Lepisosteus oculatus: one gene and its partners. The protein of the gene in region 2 interacts with the protein of the main gene of each other region in a biochemical or structural test. Links are inferred from orthologs where the notes say so. Each region holds a gene or a part of one and is shown on either strand. Other genes may lie near its edges. The genes, in order: mapk9, elk1 and srfb.

The links.
Region 1: of the proteins of elk1 (region 2) and mapk9, one has a biochemical effect on the other in vitro, tested with the Homo sapiens proteins (2 studies listed by BioGRID). The link is inferred for Lepisosteus oculatus from reciprocal best matches to the Homo sapiens genes ELK1 and MAPK9.
Region 3: the proteins of elk1 (region 2) and srfb form a complex in vitro, tested with the Homo sapiens proteins (2 studies listed by BioGRID). The link is inferred for Lepisosteus oculatus from reciprocal best matches to the Homo sapiens genes ELK1 and SRF.

The regions. Positions count from the first base shown.
Region 1 is NC_090706.1:23,084,245-23,091,618, reverse strand, and holds the start of mapk9 (mitogen-activated protein kinase 9), read left to right. Parts: upstream 1-4,337; 5' UTR 4,338-4,579; intron 4,580-7,374. Other genes in the region: gfpt2 (glutamine--fructose-6-phosphate aminotransferase [isomerizing] 2), read left to right, coding at 227-271. UniProt on the Homo sapiens protein: Serine/threonine-protein kinase involved in various processes such as cell proliferation, differentiation, migration, transformation and programmed cell death.
Region 2 is NC_090697.1:76,536,563-76,543,834, forward strand, and holds the start of elk1 (ETS domain-containing protein Elk-1), read right to left. Parts: upstream 3,091-7,272; 5' UTR 2,694-3,090; coding exon 2,669-2,693; intron 2,660-2,668; exon of another isoform or gene 2,371-2,659; intron 2,142-2,370; exon of another isoform or gene 1,061-2,141; intron 1-1,060. UniProt on the Homo sapiens protein: Transcription factor that binds to purine-rich DNA sequences. Forms a ternary complex with SRF and the ETS and SRF motifs of the serum response element (SRE) on the promoter region of immediate early genes such as FOS and IER2.
Region 3 is NC_090712.1:6,300,832-6,308,329, reverse strand, and holds the start of srfb (serum response factor b), read right to left. Parts: upstream 3,002-7,498; 5' UTR 2,449-3,001; coding exon 1,789-2,448; intron 1-1,788. UniProt on the Homo sapiens protein: SRF is a transcription factor that binds to the serum response element (SRE), a short sequence of dyad symmetry located 300 bp to the 5' of the site of transcription initiation of some genes (such as FOS).

The DNA of each region.
Region 1 (7,374 bases), on a different chromosome or scaffold from region 2:
AATTATTGAATCTTTACTTTATGCTTCTATTGAATAAGGGTTTATACCAGTTCATATTGGGTATTTAGCATTTTATCACATAAATCTAGCCACTAATGCACCCATTTACCTAATATCTACTTGCTGTAATGTACACATCATAAACTGTAAACAAAACTATCTTTTAAACTATTTCTTTGAAATGTTATTGAAACAATGTTTAACATTATTTCTCTTTAAATTTTAGGTTGACTGTCCACGGAATCTTGCCAAATCAGTCACAGTGGAGTAATATTCTTCAACAAACTGGAAATTATTGGAGGGAAGATAATGAAGAAGAACGTTTGCGGTCTTGGGTGTTTATATGTATGTTCATATGTTTATAGATATTTACATGTATTTATATATTACATAAAACTGAAACACAACAGACTATCATTGAAGTTTTCTAGGATCAGGCTTTTTCTCTATCTTCCAGCACTATAATTGATACAGGACTTACAAGGTTTGATCCAGCCAATGCAATAACTAGTACATTGACACTTCAATGTAGCAACACTATGCAGTTTTTAATTTACTTTGTGCCTTAACCTTATGTACTCCTGTTGCCATAGGAGTGATAAGGAAAAGAAAATGTGATGTTTACTTGTAGTTCCTAGATTGACATTTTATTAATACTGTGCAATATTTAATGTAAGAGGGCCAAATGTTTCTGGTTTTATGCAGATGATCTACATTTTAGGGGAATGAATTTGGGGAAGGATTTAATGTATTTCAGAATAGAAATTACATCCTAAATTAAAAGCAAAGCTATCTCATAACATACAGTATAACGCCTATATCCTCTGCTCTCAGTGGCATAAACTTTCACAGGTTCCAATCAATATGTAGCCGTACATCAGTCTGCTTTTTGGTACAATAATGGGAGCAAGTGTGGGCATGTTTTCTTGAGGATTTAAACATCAAAAGCAGTGGTCCACCCTTAAGCACATGGTGCTCTATAAAGCGGAGCTTCTGTACGATAGAGGCTTAGCCATGCTGTGACTCCCATGCTGTAACATTCTTTAACACTCTCCTCCACTACAACTAAAAGAGTCAGGTTGAACACCCCCAGCCTTAATTTCAAACCACTGTAGCAAGAGAAGGCCTGACTTGGTCTAGAATGAAAGTAAGTGCTTACTGTTTTCAGTCGATACACAGAGAGATGTGTATCGTCAGAAGATTCATATATGCAATAATTATACCAAATTAAGTGAAGAAACATCAGATTGCATGATCTATTGATCTTTTTCTGTATGTATTTTAATGTAGCTTTATTTATATCCAGAATATATGTGCTGCAGAGACCGTGGTGAGGAGGTATGAAACATGTCTTCTCATTTGACAACAGCCTTTGCTATAGTTTATTTGGCACAGGCAGTATTGTCACTGTAAAACACAAGTCTGCATTGAGCCCCAGATATGTATTCCAGTCTGCTAAATCTTTTAACAAAGATGTCTTAGTATCATGTGTTTTAGATTATTTATGAATTTATAAAAAGGTAAATTATTTTTCCAGGCTTGCTAAAATCAAAGTGGTTTGTTATTGTTTACCAAAAGTACTTGACATGTATATTATTGTTATTGTGTTGTCATGCTACGTAAAACTGTGAGTGATGCTTTTGGGTATTTTTTTAAAGATGAAGATCAATGGCCTTTTAAAAGATATTTTATATGTTTTTATTATGGAGGACTTTCAAAATCTATGAATGTTTAGAAAAAGGCAAAATAAAATGTATGTTTAAATTGCCCTGGTTTGATATCTTTATGCTTGTCATAGAATTGGTTTAATTGGTTTGAACGTCCTTAAACAGACTGAGATTATTAACCAAAGTGGTATAGTTACATGTTGCCAGCACTAGCTACATATATACTGTATTTCCCTAAAATCAAGTAGAGGTATAAAGATGCAGCTCCTCACTAGACCATATTTACTTGTAATTAGTAACTGTAATTGGATCAGAAATAATCCCTATTAATTTAAGTCTTGTATTATTTATCGAAAGCCAAAAATACCTAATAGAGCGGGGGATCTTAAAATTAGATTTCAGAACCTCAGAAAAGTACAGGGTCCCCTAAAGAAACCAAACTCTGATTATGCAGATAAATCAGATGTGTTAGTTTTGAGCTGGAGTATTAATCTTGTGCAACTGAGACCTAGTTTCCTGTTTCCTGCTAATGGGTCTGCTGATAGTTGAAGCAGACCATCCCATTTTCTAAGCAGGTTGGCCCTTAATCATGGAGAGATCAACCCACAATCACTTGGACAGGGCATGCTTGTATCTGTTTTTGCTCTTTCCTTAATTTACAATTTTATTTTTTGAATGCATATGTATCTGGGTTCTTAACCAACCCATTCTGGCAATTATGAATAATTCAACTAAAATGACAAACACTGAGCAGCTGGTATTTATAAAATCAAATTGACCTGAACTTTTTCTCAAGGGGTAATATTAGAGAGCCAACAAATCAATCCTCTCACTGTTTCAAATGAAAGTGAAATAATGTACAGTATTTACCTAATGAGCTATAGACATAAGGTGCAGACTTTTGTTTTTTTTGTTGTCCATTGGTATATACACAAATGAGTATTCGTGCACACTTGAACTTAACACATTTATCTCAATGTACATATTTAAGGCACCTATATAATGACATTTTGTGTGTTCCCTATCATGGACTGGTGTCTGTGTGTCTGCACTATGATAGACTGGCTTCCCATCCATGGTATACCCTGCCATGTACCCATTTCTTGCTAGGATAGGATATGGCTCCCCCATGACCCTGGATTTGAAGAAGTTGTGAGAAGATGAATGGATAGATTTATTGACACACAGAATACAGAGAATTTATTTTTTCATCTAAATTCATCAGAACGGACATGGTATCAATTATAGCTATTTATCCAAATTACTGTTATATGCCCATTTTAACTCTAGTTTCATATGTAACATAAGGTTGGGAGGTATACTACTTAAAACTTTGAATAAATAAACAATGCCTGCGTTCTGCCATGGGACTGTTGTCATGATATCCAAACACTTTCTAACTGCTTCTTCAAATTCAGGGTTGCAGGGGTGTTGGAGCAACTCAAAATCTTGGAAAGCAATGACACAAGGCAGGATACACCCTAGACAGGAAGCCAGTCCATTGCAGGGCATGTGTCATCAGTTTTGTACTTAAGTACAGTATTCCCAATTAAACAATTTAACCTTTTCAGTTGCATAACAAAGCAGTGGAAAGACCAATTCCTCCAACCAGCCAGACCAATTAGAAACCACTTATGTGGGAAGCCTACCAATTTGATACATAAACATTTAAATAAATCTAGTAGGTAATTCATACAAATGTGCCTTATACTGAATCAATTGTATAATAACTTCACCCCACATTAATTCAAATTGTGTATGTGTGGCTTTATACTGAACACTTTCTACACTAAACACAAAATCTCAAAATCATGTACAGTTATTGTAAAGTTTTCGTTTACACAGATATTTACGCAGGCAACACAGTGGTGCAGTGATTAACATTGCTGCCTCACAGAACTGGGGCCCTAGGTTCAGTTCTGGACCTAGGGTGCTATCTGTGTGGAGTTTGTATGCCCCCTCCCTGTGTTTGCGTGGGCTTTTTCCAGATGTTCCTGTTCCTCCCACAGTCCAAAGACATACTGGTAGGCTAACTGGCTTTGGGGTATAATTAAGCCCAGGTTTGAGTAAGTGTGTGTTTGTGTCTCCTCTGGGATGCACAGGTATCCTTGTAAACTGCCTTGCATCCCTTGCTCACTAGTTTAGACTTCGGCTCCTCCGTGATCCTGAATTGGAAGAAACAGTTAGAAAATGGACGGGTGGACGATGTACTTATAATAATGATGATATTATTATTATAGCAGTAGGAAAAAAATGCTGCCCGAATACTTTTTGGAATTGTACAACTCACGGAATTCGATCTTGATGGAGATACTTTATTCATATTAATACTGATGTATCGCTTATATTTCAAGTTTTCGAGTGATTTTCCATTTCCAGTGATGAGTGTATACAGCATATTGCATTTCCAGCAGCATTTTATAGAAACAGTGTATTCATTTTCAATTCAGAAAGCCACCGTCTACAGAGGTACTACAATGTGGATCCCTAGGATTCGAAAGATTTTTTTATTGTTAAAACTTTAAAAGTTGTACTTTAGAAAGAAGGGTAATCAGGTCGCATTGCAACAAACCCCCAGCAGGCAGCCGCCAGACAGGCTTAAACGATCGCAGCTCCCACTGGCTTTGCTGACGCGCCACACTCTAGCTTTGGCGTGATGACGTCACGCATATTTCCTGCCCGCAGTCGGGTTGTTGTGCCGACAAGTCCCCGCCCCAGTCATGCCATTGACAGGACCTAGAAATCCGGCATCTAGGAAGAAAGACCGTGTATTTTCGCGGCTGACAGCTGAGTTCTCCATTTGACGCATCCGCCTTGGATACCTTGGATTTTCGTGAATGTTGAGCCCCGGAGCCCCTCTTCTTGGGTTTGTCGTGCATGGGAGTGCTGTGGGGAGAAAGCGAAGTGAGAAGGTAGGTGTAATTAAATTTAGCTCGCCTGCTTGCATGCGCTGCTCCTGCTGCAGTTCTTACCAGAAGTGAAAGGGGAGGCGGGTGCAGACCGGGCCCTTGAGTCAGACCGGGGGCTTGTAAGTTGCAGAATTGGCCGAATATTAACCGAGAAGCGGAATTGACACGACAGGTCCTCCCTGCTGTAGGATATTTCGCATATCTGGCCTAGGCTGTAATTTGTGGTCTTACTCTAAAACACAGGCTGTTGGAGGGAGTATGTAATGATGCAATGAAACTACTCCAGAATGACTCATTGGCTGCCAGCTGCAAAAAGAAAGCCTACAAACTGTCGGTATTTGATTAAATGATGGAGTACGGGAACTCTATGTGCCTTCTAGGGCGGAATTGACAGCTTCATCGTTCCCAGGAGGCTTTAAAATAAAAAAAATACAGAGACAGATGATTTTTGTTTAAAGCCGATGGTGTTGCATGGCTGCTGGAAGCTGCAATATTTGAAGTTAGTACCTAATGAAAAGGCTACGGGGAAGCTGTGCTCTGTTGCCAAATACTGGAGGGATTTCTTTTATTTAAAGACCATAGCAAATTACTTAGACATTAGACATCCATTGCTTTTGAACCTGCAGGCAGTTAACACCCCAGGTTATTCGCCCACATACAGAGCAAGAATACCTGGCTATCTTAGGGGCACGCCCATTTATTTAAGACTGTTTCAGAGACTCTATTATTCTCCATTTATCCTGTTTCAAGTGCTACTTAATTGGCAATGTCCTTCTAACTACTTCCTCCTCGGATATACGGGTAATACTCGGTGTGGAACCTTACAATAGTCTGGAAACCGGCTTATCGTGGCCAGGCCTGCATTCATGTTGCCATTTTTCATGATTCTACACTGCCTTTTTTTTAGCTTCCTTCTCTTATTACTGTTCTGTCACGTAAGTGCGCTGTTCTTCTTTTTACTGGTTGGAATGTTTGAGCACCTACTGTGCTAAAAAACTATAAGTATCATCATTATATTTTTAACATAAAGACTTGTTTTCAGAAATCTGGACTTCAGCTGATGCTTTGAGGTGATGCGACGCTTGGTCCTTGAATTTGCAAAACTATGAATTATCCATTACTTTCCATCACTTCAGACCGGTTTAACTAAATGTGTCACTACTAAACACTCCTCTTCTATAAAATTCCTGCTCTCCTTGGGTAGTTTAGAAACTCTGCTAGCTGTGAACGGGAAGGTGGCTGTTTTTTTTGTAGGAACAAACGTTATCATTTTTTGTATAGAAGCAGCGGTTGAAATCAGAGTTTGTGAGCATTATGTAAAGTACAATATATTATAAGGATGACATTGCAACATTTTGTTTCATGCTGACTAACATTTGCTGTCTGCATTTCATTTTAAAGGGTCCATACCAAAGAGGTAAACATACCAAAGATAAACATTGTTACAGTATATTGGTACTTTTAGGTTTTATAGGATGTGACATACCTGAAGTGGTGTTTTACATGTACTGTAAGTATACAATACAGTATACCAATGTATTATTAAGATTGCTTTACAATCTTGTCAGTTTCATGTGCAGTAGAAAATCAGCTGAACGTTTCATGAAAGGTCTTTTGGCATGTAATAGTGAATCAGAGGAGTTTTACATGTAGGATTATACCATGGCGCAGTAGTGAACATTGTTGCATCGCAGGGCTGGGGCCAAGGATTCCTTTCCAGATTTGAGGTGCTATTGTGTGGATTTTATAATGTTTGCGTGGGTTTCTTTTTACTCTAACAACGTAAATTGGCTTTTGGGAATATATTTAATTTCCAGTGTGTACCCCACATTACGCCTGCTGCTTGCCAGGATTGTCTCAGGGTTCCCTGTGACCCTGAATTGGAAGAAGTGGTTAGAAAATGTACCTGATTTACCTGTATTTGCTTAACTTTCATAAATGTGTTCTACAGTACCACATACAGTAGTACTATTAAATAAAGTCTCATGCTCTATCCTTCCCAAGTTTTTTTTTAAATAATCTATCTAGTGTTGCCAACAGCCATATCACTCTGCAACTCACAACTGGAAACCCACTGAAGCTAAGCAGGTGTGAGCCTGGTCAGTACCTGGATGGGAGACCTCCTGGGAAGAACTAAGGTTGCTGCTGGAAGAGGTGTTAGTGGGGCCAACAGGGGGGCGCTCACCCTGTGGTCTGTGTGGGTCCTAATGCCCCAGTATAGTGACGGGGACACTATACTATAAACAGGCACCATCCTTCGAATGAGACGTAAAACTGAGGTCCTGACTCTCTGTGGTCATTAAAAATCCCAGGGTGTTTCTTGAAAAGAGTAGGGGTGTAACCCCGGCGTCTTGGCCAAATTTCCCATTGGCCCTTACCAATCATGGCCTCCTAATAATCCCCATCTATGAATTGGCTTCATTACTCTCCTCTCCTCCCCACTGATAGCTGGTGTGTGGTGAGTGTTCTGGCGCACTATGGCTGCCGTCTCCTCATCCAGGTGGATGCTGCGCATTGGTGGTGGTGGAGGGGAGTACCCATTACCTGTAAAGAGCTTTGAGTGGATTGTCCAGAAAAGCGCTATATAAGTGTAAGCAATTATTATAGAGTTCTTTCCACAAGTGTCCTTTTTTCCTGTCATATCGAAACACTTCTGCTCAGCAAGAGCCCATGTCTGTTATGCTACTGTCTCATTGCTTTGCATTTCACTTATTAAAAGCTTCATCATAACAACTTTGCAATACTTCAGCTTGAGATAATGCATTTTCCATTTTAATAAAACGGAAGAAGAATGCTGA
Region 2 (7,272 bases):
ACTAAACGGCAGAAAATCAACATATTTCCATAAGCGGAAGAATTTCGAAATGGCTATAAGGCGTATAAGGATGGGGGAGATTGGAGACTGGCGTCTGGTTTACCTACAGTATTAGAGTAAGAAGTCAGAACTGAAAGCAAGATGGCAGTATTGAAAACATCTTGTAACCATGCTGGCAAGCTCATTCTCTCCCTCAACAAAACCTTTGCGTACTCTTTGTGGTTTCCCCTCTGACCGAACTGCGTCTACTGCGCCCACAACGTGCCTTAAGCCGTTTCATTTGACACACAGCTTTTTCAGATACTTTTGCTTAGCAGGAAGAAAGATATCAATGAATTGATCCACTGATAAACCGATCTGTCAAAGTAACACTGATACAGTCACCCAGGTCTTTACACACTCACACGTTTAAGACTCCCAAAGAAGATGAGCACTGAGCCAGTGGGGTTTTCACCAGCAGATGCAGGGAGAGTAGAGATTTATACAGAGCAGGCAAACCAGGGTCCCCCAACCCTGCTCCAGCCTGCTGGTGTTCCTCCCAGAATATCTTTCCTTAACTGAATTAATGAGTTCAACTGTAAACATTCCCCTGAAGGGTGCCTTTGCAGAATTTTCTTTTTCTGAGATGTTTTAACTCATGGGTTTAACTTATGAACTGCAAGGAGACGCTCTTGCTCCCCAGTATGATTAGGAGCAGAGGACTACTGAAGGTGTCCGGTGGATGCAACTGTCAGGCCAATCAAGAGTCTGATGCAGTAATGCAGAGCCCATCTGCAATGAAAACAAGCAGGCCCCTCAGCACCGGGGGATGTGTAACTGGAAGACTGCGGGTTCAAATCCTGGGTGGGACACAGCTGTCGGTACTTTGAGTGGCATATTTCGCCCTGAATTGCCCCTGTAAGAGACGCAGCTGTGCTGTGGAAGTGGAACTCCTTCGGGGCTCGACGGTTCAGGCCCGTCTACGCTTCGCAAGAGGAAAAGCTTTTGTGTCAGCCTCTTGCTTGACAAGAGCAAGCCAACAGCAACAACAGCAGCAAAGACAACAAAATAATACATAGAATAAATATTACATGTTTTTATTATATAATTTGGTATTAGTTCAGGTGGGTAGCTGCGTCAGCATGCGTAGGCTGCAAAGGAACAAGTAATAGGTTTATTCCATGCTGAAAAAAAGAAGAAAGAGAACACAACTTTTCGGCCGTGGAGCCTTCTTCAGGTGTGAGAGAGACAGGGCAGTAGGCAAAGGTAAAGTAGCGGGAGAACAAAGGTTGGGAGGGAGGAGGAGTGAGAGGCGGGAGCAGGGGACAGAAAGAGAGGCCATAATGTGGTATGACTGGTATAATATGGAATTACTCAAATTATATTAACAACCAAATATTATATATCAAATATAATAAAATAATACCTACAACAGTGTTACCACATGGTGAGTGGATTTTGAAAAACACTTCTGTTGTCAGAACAATTAAAAAAAAATCAGAGCACAGCCTTTATATTTTAAACTGAAACTGAAAAAACATCTTAGCTTAGAGCAAGCTTGGGAGAGAGCGCGATGCTTTGTATCCCTCTGAGTTACCACACAATTATTTGTCATTTTGGGGAAAAGGACAGGAAGGGAAGTTCACCTTTTTCAATTCTCCAAGCAGGTTCGGGGAGATAAGCATCTTAAAGGACGTCTCCGCGGTATTAGGGTTGTAATCGGACTTGGACGCTGCATTACCGCCCTCAGCCCGTACACACGCTCGGAGACACACGGGCGCACAAAACGTCAACAAGCCGAAACTGGTCATTAGAAACCAGCGGCGGGGTTTGAACCACAGCCATGAAAATTAAGTGATTGCACACCGACCTCTCAGAGCATTGGGAAATTGTTTACTTAGGTGTGTGTTCAGGTGAATTTAGGAGGGAATTTAAAATATAGAGACATCGGAAATAATCATTATACGTTATTTATGTTCGCTTTTAGGGGAAAACGTGGTGTCTTCAGCTGCACAGGCCAGTCTCTGGACACTGCTGGCCGGGTAAATGACTTTTGACTCTCGACTGCTTCGACATCCACGAGCTCTGGAACTGTAACGCGCGCGCCGGAGGCGGGGGGCGCTAGACTGGCTGTCGATGGTCTCGTCTCCTGCGCAGTCTTTCTTTTTTAAAAAAATAAATAAAACAAAGCTTTAAAAAAAAACCGTGCAACCCACGGCATTTTGCTCCGACACTGAAAAACCGTTCTGCTAGAAAAACCGATGCGCGACTCGAGTAAAAAAAAACAAACAGTGTGACATTTGAAAGTAGCAGCTACAACTCGCATCCAAGCCCTTGACAGGGGGAAAAAAAAAGTTTTGGTGCCAGTGCGCTCCTCGAGATCTAACCTACCAGGAGAGCAGCAAGTTTCCAAAGCGGGTGTTGGCGTTTATACGCGCGTAACTCTCGTTTATCCTGCCGACGTCTGCGCGGCGATGCTTGCAAGGGAATCACGGCAACAGACCTCTCGATTAACGGCCAGGAAGGCACCCGCGCACACGCTGGGCGATGACACTCCGCCGGGACACACGCCAAGCCCGGCCGCGGCGCAGCGCGCTAGCTGGGGCGGTCGATACGGTGTAGCCAAGCCTGCAGGCGCCGCGACACCACGGCCGCCCGTCCAAGCGCGGCGCTCCGCGGGCGCACTTACCACATAGCAGGGGGTTCGAGTCCATGTCTCAGGCGGCGGGGGTCCTGACGCTCATGCTGGAGGGAGAGGAGAACACCCGGCCGGGAGAGCGACGTCCACAAGTCGGTCTGGGGGCGAGAGGGTGGCGGGTGCCAACGGGCGATCGTCCAGCCCGATCCGGGGCTCTAATTATGTAATGACAGGGCTCCGACAAAGACCCGAGCCACCCCCATATTTCACCTCCGGACTTGACTGATGTGTGTGTTTGGGTTTTTGTTTTGGACGGCTTCACAGTCCTACAAGCAGCCACGGCGCATGCTGGCCTCCCATGTCCTCCTGCCCGGTCGCCGTGACGCCGAGCGCTGGCAGGTGAGGGTCTTTGGAATCGGCGAGGCTCGGAGTAGGAGACCCCCGTCTCTCTCTCTCTCTCCCCCCAGCCCCCCCACAACACACCAACCCCAACACCACCAGCACCGCCCCCCTTCCCAGCCGCTCTCCTCCGCTGCTCGCTCGGGTCCTGCTGTCGCTCCGCGAAGCGAGGTCACAACTCCCCGCCGCCTAGGCGCAACATGTCTCCGGGTACTCCGCCTGCTGTAACGGCGCTTGCTCTCGGCAGTCCATGACACGCGTGTCGGCCGCAAGCAAGCAGCAGCGGCGCCTCCCTCCCTCTCTCTCTCTCTCCGTCTACCTCAAGCGTCTCCAGTCCTCCCGTACTGTAAACCTCCGCGGCTGCGTTCCTCGCTTCCTGTTTCACAAACGCCTCGGCTGCGCTCGCCGCCTCTCGGCGCCCCCGCCCCCCTCTGTCGCCGGCGAGCGCCTGCAGAGTGAGATGTCAGCGTCACAGAACCCGTGACGTCAGCTATTTCCAGTAAAAAAAAAAGGAGGGGGGGGGCAGCAGCCAAAGACACCGTCACCCCCGCGAGCTGCTGCTCCGTCTAGTTCGTCGATACCTTTCGCTTCGATCGCGAATCCGTTCACAAAACATTCCCGCACAGAAATGAAATGCCAATTACGCTGAACTGCAGGTCGCGGGGGTTAACGGTGTTCGCCTCGCTGAAGCGACACAACGACGACGTCAGAACCTTGGCATATGTTGTATTTTAGAAGTGAAATACGAAATGTTACGTTATATTTCACAATGTGGGGGCTGCACACTGGTGGTGGTGGTGGAGGGGGTCCCCATTACCTGTAAAGTGTCGGCAATTATTAATTACTCCAAGTGCAACCACAGACTGCAACGCTTTCTCTATAAATTGCGTGAGGTGACACGAGTCTTATGATATAAAGCCTAAAGTTCAAACAAATAAAGATGAGATAAAAATAAACGCATAAGCCTCATACATTTATAGTGTTATTAATAATAATAATAATAATAATAATTGCTTACACTTATATAGCGCTTTTCTGGACACTCCACTCAAAGCACTTTACAGGTACTGGGGATCCCCTCCACCACCACCAGTGCGCAGCCCCACCTGTATGATGCGCCAGTATCACCACACACCAGCTCTCAGTGGGGAGGAGAGCAGGGTGATGAAGCCAGTTCAGAGAGGGGGATTATTAGGAGGCCATGATTGGTGAGGGCCAATGGCAAATTTGGTCACACCCCTACTCTTTTCGAGAAGCACCCTGGGATTTTTAATGACCACAGAGAGTCAGGACCTCGGTTTTACGTCTCATCTGAAGGTCAGTGCCTGTTTACAGTCTAGTGTCCCCGTCACTGTACTGGAGCAGTAGGACCCACACAGACCGCAGGGTGAGCGCCCCCTGCTGGCCCCACTAACACCTCTTCCAGCAGCAGCCTTAGTTTTTCCCAGGAGTCTCCCATCCACCTGCTGAGCTCCAGGGGGCTGCATTATCATGTCGTTTTCCAGGGAGGAGAAGGACCCGTTTCCTCTTCCGTGACTCCGGCCTGGGCGGGACAGGGCAGGGGGCTTGCGAATCGAGGCACTGGACCAGCGAGGGCGGTCTCGTACAGTAGCGCCACCTTCCATCTTGCAGCGTGCAGAACGGACCCCTCCTTCACTCCCTGACTGAGGGCGGCCCGCCGGGCAGCCCAGACGCACCGAAACACGACCCGACCGGAGGAGGCAACACATTCCGAAGGGTCTCTGCCCCCCCGCCCCAAGCCGGCGAGCCGCTATCCCTGGTCTGTGGGGTTCATCGTGGGGCGCCTGAACCGAAGGCGTCGCATGGCTGTTGAACTGCTTCGCAGACGGGAGATGGCTGTTTGTGAGACCCGGCCTGTTCCAAACTGCAGAGCCGTGGGCAGGCGAGGGCCGTGGGTGTCACGGACGTCCAAAGGGACTAACCGTGGGGAGCAGGAGAGCGGAAAAAGACCCATACGCGTAGCGGCAAGACGGGAAAAAGGCCCGGGCTCATTAGTGCAAAGAGTTCAGGAATGCCGTATAGAAACCTATGCCCTCAGGGAGCGGACGTGGGGCGCCCTGGTGCTAGGCGGGTCTCAGGACATCCGAACGTCAATGCTGAGCCAGGACAGAGTGCAAGACCCGGAAATATATAGCCCAAGGGAAAGAGAGGGACCGGAAGGACAGCAGACCGGAAACTAGGGACAGGACAGAGAAGGAGCGCCCTCTGGCTGCTGAGGGCGTGACAGTGGGTTCTAAATCTGGTGAGGGGACCCCCCCGGCCAGCCCTGAAGTGCACACCCGCCAGCTTGCGCGAGTCAGTAGCGGACTGGGGGAGAGGACTGACCGAGCGTCTCTCGTCCTCCTGGAGAGCTCCAGATGAAGCGAGGTCATGCCCCCTGAGTGCACTTATTTCTGATGTGATTGTGCACCATGTACGTTCACCAGTTCAAGTGCTGAACATGCAACAGGTCAGGCAGCCTGATCAGCTTGAACGTCGCCCTCCGCTCGTGCCCTGATCGATAATGAAGGGTCAGGGCTCAGACCTGGAGCAGGGCGGAAGGGAGACGGCGCTAACGGGATTCGGGTCGCAGTTCCGGTGTCGCTCCCAGTGTCTGCTCGCAGGCCCGGTCGGGTTCTGCAGCGAGACGGGCAGGAGTGCCGGTGCTCGCGCGCGCGAGGGGAGCGCGGGGGCGTACCTGCGCGCGCCGCGGAGCCGGTCTATTTCGGGGCGGAAGTCCTTTGTTGCCACCCGCGATGCGGCTCCCCGTTTCCACGGCAACTGCGAGCTCGTGCCAGGGGACGGCCACCCCTTGGAAGGCTGCGAGCGACGTCTCGCGAGCAGCGCGCCCCGCGCTCAGTCAAAAACAGCTTCGCTCAGACTTTTTATTATTTTATTACCCCGAAGCGTTTTCTTTAATAATAATAATAATAATATACTTACACTTTTATAGCGCTTTTCTGGACACTCCACTCAAAGCGCTTTACAGGTCCTGGGGATCCCCTCCACCCCCACCAGTGTGCAGCCCCACCTGGGTGATGCGCCAGTACACTCCCCACACACCAGCTCTCAGTGGGGAGGAGAGCAGAGGGATGAAGCCAGCTCAGAGAGGGGGGTTATTAGGAGGCCATGATTGGTAAGGGCCAATGAGTAATTTGGCCAGGTTACACCCCTACTCTTTTCGAGAAACGCCCTGGGATTTTTAATGACCACAGAGATCAGAACCTCGGTTTTACGTCTCATCTGAAGGTCAGTGCCTGTTTACAGTATAGTGTCCCTGTTGCTATACTGGGGCATTAGGACCCACATAGACCACAGGGTGAGCGCCCCCTGCTGACCCCACTAACACCTCTTCCAGCAGCAGCCTTAGTTTTTCCCAGGAGTCTCCCATCCAGGTACTGACCAGGCTCACACCTGCTGAGCTTCAGGGGGCTGCCAGTTGTGAGCTGCAGGGTGATATGGCTGCTAGAGATTCTGGAGTAGTAATATAATTTCTCTAAACTGGTGACCAAACCGTAAGAGTTGGGATTTCCAAATTTTTACTTTTCACATCAAAACGCCTTATTCTGTAGTTAAAACAATGGGCATCCTCTGAGTGTTTGCACAGCCGTCATTGGTCCTTCAGCACAGTCACCAAGGCTGAACAGCAGTGCTAATTTGTAACTAGGACTAAACCCATCGCAGTTGAATCATTGCCAGCGCTTTTAGAACATCACTAGAGAACACAGTATACAAACACACACACACACACACAGAGGCAAAGCAGAAACACAAGTGACCAAGAGGAGAAAGGATTAGAGCCCACTCCAAGCTTCTTCCCTGACAGAACCGGAACTGTAGAAACTTCCAGGTATCTTGAGCACTACAGAGACCCACTCTGGGCCTTAAGTGAGAGACTGGTTTATATATGTGGAAATACCGATTTCCTACAGGCAGTACCCACCAGGGAAGAGGCATTTTTCTTAGCAAGGCATTTTTTAATAGAGAAAAACTGTAAGTTCCTGTTTGTTTAGCATCTGCTTCAGAGAGACATTTAGTCTGGAGTAGGTTCTTGTAGAAGATGAGACACGGGTTCTCTCTTCCTCTTACAGTATTTGTGCTGCAGCTGAGAGGTGTTTTTCTGTGCCTGTAGAAAGCACCACTCCAAGGCTCTCAGTAGTGTAATATTTGTGTGTATGTATGTGTATTGTCTGTAAATATTTGTGTGTTTTTTAAGTGTGCTGCCTGATTATTATGTTGTTTCCACACTGCGCTGG
Region 3 (7,498 bases), on a different chromosome or scaffold from region 2:
GCTGGTCTGAGATTGAAATGCTCTTCCCTGAAGGACTATGTGGAAGTGCAGCAGAACCAGAGGGCCGGAGGGACTCCCGTCTCAGACCAAGGCCGGGCCGTGGGAGTGCTGCCGGGCCCTCGGATCAATCGGAGCCGGAGGAGCTGCGTGCGGACAGGACAGGGGCCACGCCGTGCTCTCACACGGGCCCTCGGGCAAGATGTTCTTCAAACTGCTGAGGGGACGTAGGGTGAAGAAACACCACGCAGGAAAGCGACTGTTAACAGATAATTACACCGCATTTCAGAAAAGAGCTCCGTTGCAGGCTGTGGAGCTGGGATCATTGTCGATAGTGGGAACGGGTCCAGAGCACAGAGAACAAGGACCGAGACCGCAGCCCATGCCACCTGTCCGCTACCTTCCGTGACGGAAACACACTTCCCCGATGCTCTAGCTTCGCCAGCCTCTGGCCAGGCAGCCCTTGGGGTCGCGCACACACCCGACCAGCAGCTCGGTACTACCGACACCAACACCGGCACAGGCCACAGGGAGGGGAGGGTGGGCACAGGGGTTGCCAGTTGCTCTTTTCTATTTAAAGCGCCTGCCTCTTGTTCTGAGCCCACCGTGTCCGCTGTAGTTTCCACCTACGGCGAAGGAGGGGGGGGGGCGCTCTCTCCCCTGACTGGAGGTCCGCACGTGCGCGGCGCCCCCCCCCCCCCGGTCACTAGTAAACACCGCCGGGAGCCTCGCGGCTACTCCAGCGCGAGCCCGTGTCAGTTTCGCTTCCCCCCCCCCACCTCCCGGCCTCGCGCGCTGCGGCAGCTCTCCTCTTCGTCTCTCCATCCCCCCCCCCGCCGCCGCCGCCTACTCCCCCGCTCTCCGTCGGTACCCCCTCAGGGAGACGGGCTCACCCCCGAACCCCCTGGAGGAGACACCCCCCCGAGAAACACCTCGGCAGTGCGAGAGCGGCTCCCCAGACGGCGGGCCGCGTTGTGTAATCCGCGCTCTGATTTCTCACTGGGCAGAGGCGGAGAGAAAAAGACAACCGTCCACCCCCCGGCACACGGATAAAAATAATTCAGGTGGAGACACTCTCCGATTCTGGGGATATTTTCTGCTGTTGCCGATAGGCCCACAACTCCCCCCCTTGCTCCATGTTTCTGTGTGTGTGCGCGGACGAGCGTGGTCTCTCTGGAAAGCGAAAAACAAAAACACAACAGATATCTCAGCAGGGTAGGTCTGCAGATTTCCAGAGGGCCGGGAAAGCGGTAAAGTCGGAAAGTAAAAAAAAAAAGTGAAGTACACTTCTTACAGCTCAGACACAACAGAACAGGCTCCGCGGCTACACACGGGCTGAAACACGGACTGGCGAAGTTTCTCACGACCGACACATGACGCCGGACGGAGCCCGGGCGCTGACAGAACTGGTCTTGGGAGCAGACGACGACGACGACGACTTCGACAACCCGGTGTGCCGTTTCCGACGGTGTGCTCGCTGGGCAGCTCATCCTTTCCCAGGTTTTACGAACTTGTTCACCGGACCAGACGCTCTCCCTGCTGCGGCGGCGGCGTTCCGGCTCCATCTCTCGACTCGCCCCGCTCTCAAGCCGCGGGGTCGCCCGCCGCTGCATCGTCGCTTAAAGCAACTTATACGCCAACCGTTAACTTCTCCAGCCCCGGGGGGGGGACAGTGCGAGGCCTCGCATCGGGGGGGAGTGGGGGGATAGAGGACGGGACTCGTTAAAAAAAAAAAACTTCCCCCGACACCTCCACCGGCCGCGAACTTGGCAGGGCAATCTCGTTACTCACCTTCTTCATGATGCCCGTCTTCCGCTTGCTGAAAGTTGTGTACCGCCTCAGCTTGTTGTCGATAAACTCCATTTTGATCTTGACTCGCCCCCTGGTCTTCTTCCCCGGCTTCGCGCCGGCCACCCCGGCGGACACCCCGCCGTATGCCCCCGGCGGCACGCCGGTCTCCTGCCCGGCGCCGGCGGCTTCCATCTCCGCCCGCTCCCGCTTCACCCCTCTCCTGCCGTCCCCGGCCGGACCCAGGGGGTCGTCGTCATCCCCGGAGTCCGAGTCGGCGTCCGAGCCGCTGTACACCTGAGGCGTGCTGTCCCGCTCGGGCTCGTACCTCCCGGCCCCGTGCATCCCGACGGCGGGCGTCACTCCCCCGATGCCCCCTACTCCAGTCCCCTGCAGCCCGGCCAGCCCTGCCCCGTTGCCCGGCCGGGACCCTCCTCGGGAGCCTCCCCCTGCCCCGTTGCCCCCCAGCATCCCTGCCCCGTCCCCCGACCGTCCCACCCCGCCGCCGTTGCCGCTGACCCCGGCCGCCACTCCGATTAACCCCGTCCTGCCCAGACCCGGGCGCAGCGCGCTCCCGGCCGCCCCCGAGCTGTGACCCGTGTTGCCCCGGCCCGCAGACGACCCGTTTCCAGCTGGTGCCGACCCAGCCTGGCTCGGTAACATTATACTCTGCTGCCCCCGGGGGTGTCTTTAAAGAAAGCCAGCCGCTCGCTGGGGCCCGTGCGTGCTCGTCTTGTTACAGCAAAGCACATACACCGGCCAGCGAGGTGGTCAACGGGGGAAGGGAGGGAGAGGAGGAGAAGAAAAAAAAAGAAAACAGCGGTCCGGAAAGTCAGAAAGGCTCCGACGTCCCCTTATAACGGGAGAAGTTAAGTTTCAGAAGTGATGCTGCCCCCCATAAGACCCCTCACCCCCGGCTCAGTCAAGCTCAACCTCCTCTATTTCCAAAACTCGCTGCACTTTCTCCAAAAGGAAAACGCGGATCACGCCCTACGCATCACTCCGCCATGTCACGTAGTCCCCACATTAAAACACCGCCGGGGAGCCCGCCAGCGCGCCCGGGATGGCAGCCGACGCTCCTACCCGTCCTCCGGATCACCTAACTCGCTTTCAGACGGCGCCGGCGCCGAGGGGGAACCGGCTAAATTCGCTTATTTCAACTCGCTCCCCGTGGACGGATACCATAGGTAGCGATCTACTTTCCTCCATATAAAGAGATACAACGTTTCCTTTTATGGTGGCGGCTCTCCTTATTTGGTGAGTCACAGCGCCGCGCCGCCATTGGCCGCAGCCGCCCGAACCTGCGCCGCCATTGGACGCCAGGCGCCCGGTCATTAGAATAAATACCAAGATGGTTGCGCTCATCCCCCTGACGTCAGCGACGGGAGGAAGGCTGGTGGTCGAGTTTAAAGAGACAGGCACGGAGTTAAAGTCCCGAGTTAGCTGCTGTACAGTTAGGGGCTTTCACATATCACAGTGCCAACGGCTTGAGTTTCTTTCTTTTCTACTGCAGGGGCCTTATCAAACAAGGTTTTATGAACTGTAATTTATTCACTGCTGTATTTAATTTGTTCACTGTTGTACTGTACAAATAAACCATAATCCCTTGCCGATATACACATGGATAAGGGCTTCACGTAAGATCTTCTACAAACTAAGCTGTTGTGGTGGTATAGCTTGCCCCGTCATAATTATTGGTCTCCTTTTGTCACTTTACGGAAGGTCTTGGTCACTTTAGGTCACATGGAAATGGATCACTAGTTACCTGGTCCAACATTGGTTCAGCAATGACCTGTTCATCTTGCTGTGTCTGACCCCGTCCACTCATCAATTGTCTTCGCCCCGATCCTGATATCATGACCCCTGTTTGTGCTCTAACACATCCATTTCTTATTCCACATCTTCTTCTTATTTCCAGGCACAGGGTTTTCCAACACATGCTGGATATTCTGTAGTACATACAATGTTTTTTCGAATACATCGTGCATTCAGAGAGTATCAACAAACAGATCAGTGTAAGACCTCTAGGATACCTCTTAGAAAAACCTTTGAATATCTAGGAATATTTTAGAAAATGACAGAGCAAAACTATTCGTTTGGGATTTTATGTCACTATGGACGTGATATATACTAGCTATAAGAGTAATGCACTTCAAGAGTATTTTCTTCAAAGCCGTACATAACGTTTATAATCCAGAAAGAACACATAACTTTGATATATTAACATTAATGCAAGTTGAAAGATTTCACAGATTCCAAAAAATAATCTACCTCCAAATGAAAAGCAGTAGTATCCGGCAGAGATACACAGATTCAACACACAGATGAACTTTTCCTGATGGCATAGAAAAACAAGGAGGGATTGCTTTGTCTTTTCAAAGTGCCCCTCGTGCAATTAAAAGACTCTACAGGGAAGTAAGAAGAAATACGTGACCACGCCCTGTGTCTGCAATTAAATGCGCAATTAGTACATTTGCAACTTGCTGGATTGAATGGGTGTTCAGGAGAAGTATAAGTAATCATTTTTAAATAAGTATCATTTAACAGGTCGGATTTACTGCTCCTAACAAAGTAGTGAATGACACTATTGGAGATGGGTGATGCTCATACCTTCATGTCCGACTGCGTGTTTAAATATTAGATCAGTCACGAAGTTTTATCTCAGGTTCGTCGCGTCCCTCGTTAGTTCTCAACACCCTGGCGGTGAAACTGTAGCTGTTAAGCATTATGTGGCCGAACTGTTTAGGGGGTTTGAGCACTGCGTTTAAAACTGAACGGGACTAAAAAAAACACAGCTCTGTGCGTTTGCCGATGTTCCTAATTAGCGAGGGCCAGTGGGTGCAGACACCTTAGAACAAACCTGTCAGGCACTCCACAGTCTTCTCACTTCACTGTATCACCAACTCTTGCCAGGGTGGCTTGGTTGCTATGGAAACTGTTTAACTGGATGCTGCATTAAATTAGATTAGGCCTTGCTCAAATATGCAAGCCTAGATAACGGGAAGGCAGTCTTACCCATTTAACCAGCCCTGAAGAGGCATGATCGGCAGGGCTCGTCGTTCTTGGCAATTATGAGGCGCCCCTGTTGAGAGAGCTGGGCTTGTGGGTTTTAACTGCCGTGGCAGTGTCGGCGTGTCTGTATGATAGCAGGCAGGGCCTTTCCTGGGCTTGCTGTACCTGAAATTGAAGTAACTGTGTGTCCTTGTCTGTGCCTCCTCCAGTGTGAAAGAAATGAAACTTTTAAGCCCGTTAGTGTTTTGACACTCGGGTACGAGTTTCAAGTTTTTTTTTCTTCTTAACTTTCCTTTTAAAAATGAATCATCTGTTTAATGTTGTAAAAACAAACAAACACAATGCTGGACGGGTCTGGCAGTGTAGTTCTGTCCAAGGGGAAGCAGTACCTGTCCCGAGTCAGGAGACCTGCAGGACTCCCAGCTCCGGAGAAGAGCAGCACTTCTCCGGCCCCCTGCACACGTCTGGTCACCCTTCCTCCTTCCTCCATCGTCTGCAGTGCGGTTTGTGCTTCTCCTGGGGGGGGGGAGGACAGCCATGCCCTGTGTAAGACAGAAGGAAGAGTCTGGCTCTCCGAGAGGCCAGAGAGAGGGGTGTGTGGAGACATAACATCTGGATACCTCCTCAGCCGGTGCAAGTCCCCCCTGCCCCCCGCACACAGAGACCCCACAACACACAGGCCTGCTGCTTGGGATACTTCCAGTGAACGTCTTCATCCAGATCTTCTCCTGTCAGCTGGGACACCAGGCAGCTGCGGGGCGCAGCTGGAGGGGTCTGGGCCCGGAGTTTTCCATCTCAAGCTCTGACAGGAGCGTGGAGGCTGCCCGGCCCTGCGAGACACCACCACTGACGCCATGAGCCCAGGGAAGGAGAGGATACCGGTTAAAGACAGAGCAGGAGCAGGGACAGTGAAGAACCCTTGAAATCAGAACACGACAGGACAGAGTGGGATAAAAATAAGCCCAATTTGCATGTCAAGGAGAAGCATTTCACAAAAGCTTTAGCATGATCAAGGGTTACTGTAGGTGAGTCATCCATGACTAGTTTTTCTATAAACTCAGGTTTGGAACAGATTGGCGTCTGGGTGAGGGTACATTGTTTCTGTGGTAATGATCCTTTGTAGATCAGTGGATTGGAAGTCTTGGCTCTGCTGCCGCCGCAAGATGATAAAGCACACGGGAACCATCTGCGCAGTGCTGGACGCGCTGAAAAAAAATAGGTTCACTAAACGGTCAGGCCTGCCACACAGCCCAGAGTTCTAGTGTCTCACAGAGGTCTAAACTGTGAGGCTACTGTGATTTGAGCTGCTTTTCGCCTTTCAGGAAGCGCTGGTTCCTGATCGTAATTTATTGTCGTGCAGAACCCTGCTCTTTAAAATTTGTGGACTACATGATACGATCAGCCAAGAATGCGCTGAGAGGTTTTCAGCGTTAACATCAATAGCTGGGTATTTCTGCAGCTGATAGGGAAGTGTGTTTGGTGTTGAGCAGTTTTCTTCAGCCGAAAGGATTGTGGTTTCGGTGATGTCGGAGCTTCTTTGAAGCTTGCTTTGCCTGGAAAACCTTTACTCTTCAGCAACATGGTTTCAGGGAGCTTTAAATATCTGTCGCCCCTCCGGCTCCAAGAGTCTGCTGCTCCTCTGCGGTTGGCCTGTAAACTCGTCTTCTTGTCTTGCACACCCGTTCACCTACCCAATCCGGTTAAAATCCAGGAAAGGAAGTGATGCTAGAGGTCAAGTTATAGAGGGAGAAAAACCCTCCGTTCATTTGACAAACATTAAAAGGCTCAAGATGCTTCATATAATCCATCTGTTTGCTAACCAACATTGCTTCATCCAACACAGAGTCACAAGGCAGCCTGGGCCTACGCTGGCAAGGAGTGGGCACAAGGCTGGACAAACTCTGGACAGGCACACAGGACACAAACACACACTCACTCACACCAGGGCCAGTTTCTCCAGATGCCAGTGAACCTTTTGGTAGGTTTTTGGACTATGGGAGGAAACCGGAGCACCTGGAGGAAACCCACAAACTGAGGGAGAGCATATACCACTTCATATAACCGGCGCTCTGTACCGTATAAATCACAGGCCACCTAGTATCTGATGCCTTTTAGACACTGAAACGTGCACTTCATGCGTGAACATAACAAGAATTATAAGCCAATTTTAGGACAAAGAATAGCAGGGCCGGTTAGTGCAGCATGTGGAAAGAAATATTTTGTCTGTTCCCAGTAAAAGTGCTGTGATGATTCTGATGAAGGGCTCAGTGCCAGAGGAACGAGAGGACGAGTGAGGTGCTCCCCAGTCGCTTGGGTGCTGTGAAAAGGGAGGGAGGCCGGTGGCGAGCGCTCAGCTGTCTAAGGTGCCGCCCGGGACGGAGCACAGCTGCCGGCTCCTCTGTGCAGCTCAGAGAGGGCTGGAGGTGCAGGTGAGCCGGGAAGCACGTGGCAGTGAGGGTCTCCCTCACAGACCCCCTCCTCCGCTCGCTCCCACTCTTACAGAGAGACACAGCCACCTCCTTACCTCACTTACACACACACACCCAGTGGGCAACACCCCTCCCCATTGTCACCGTGGACAAACAACAGGCCTTTAAAAAAACGATGACAAAGAAACTCTTTACAGAATTGAGCCTTTCCTTGCCCCCCCACCACCACCCACTCCTTCCCCCTCAGACAGCATTAATCCAGGAGAAACCGC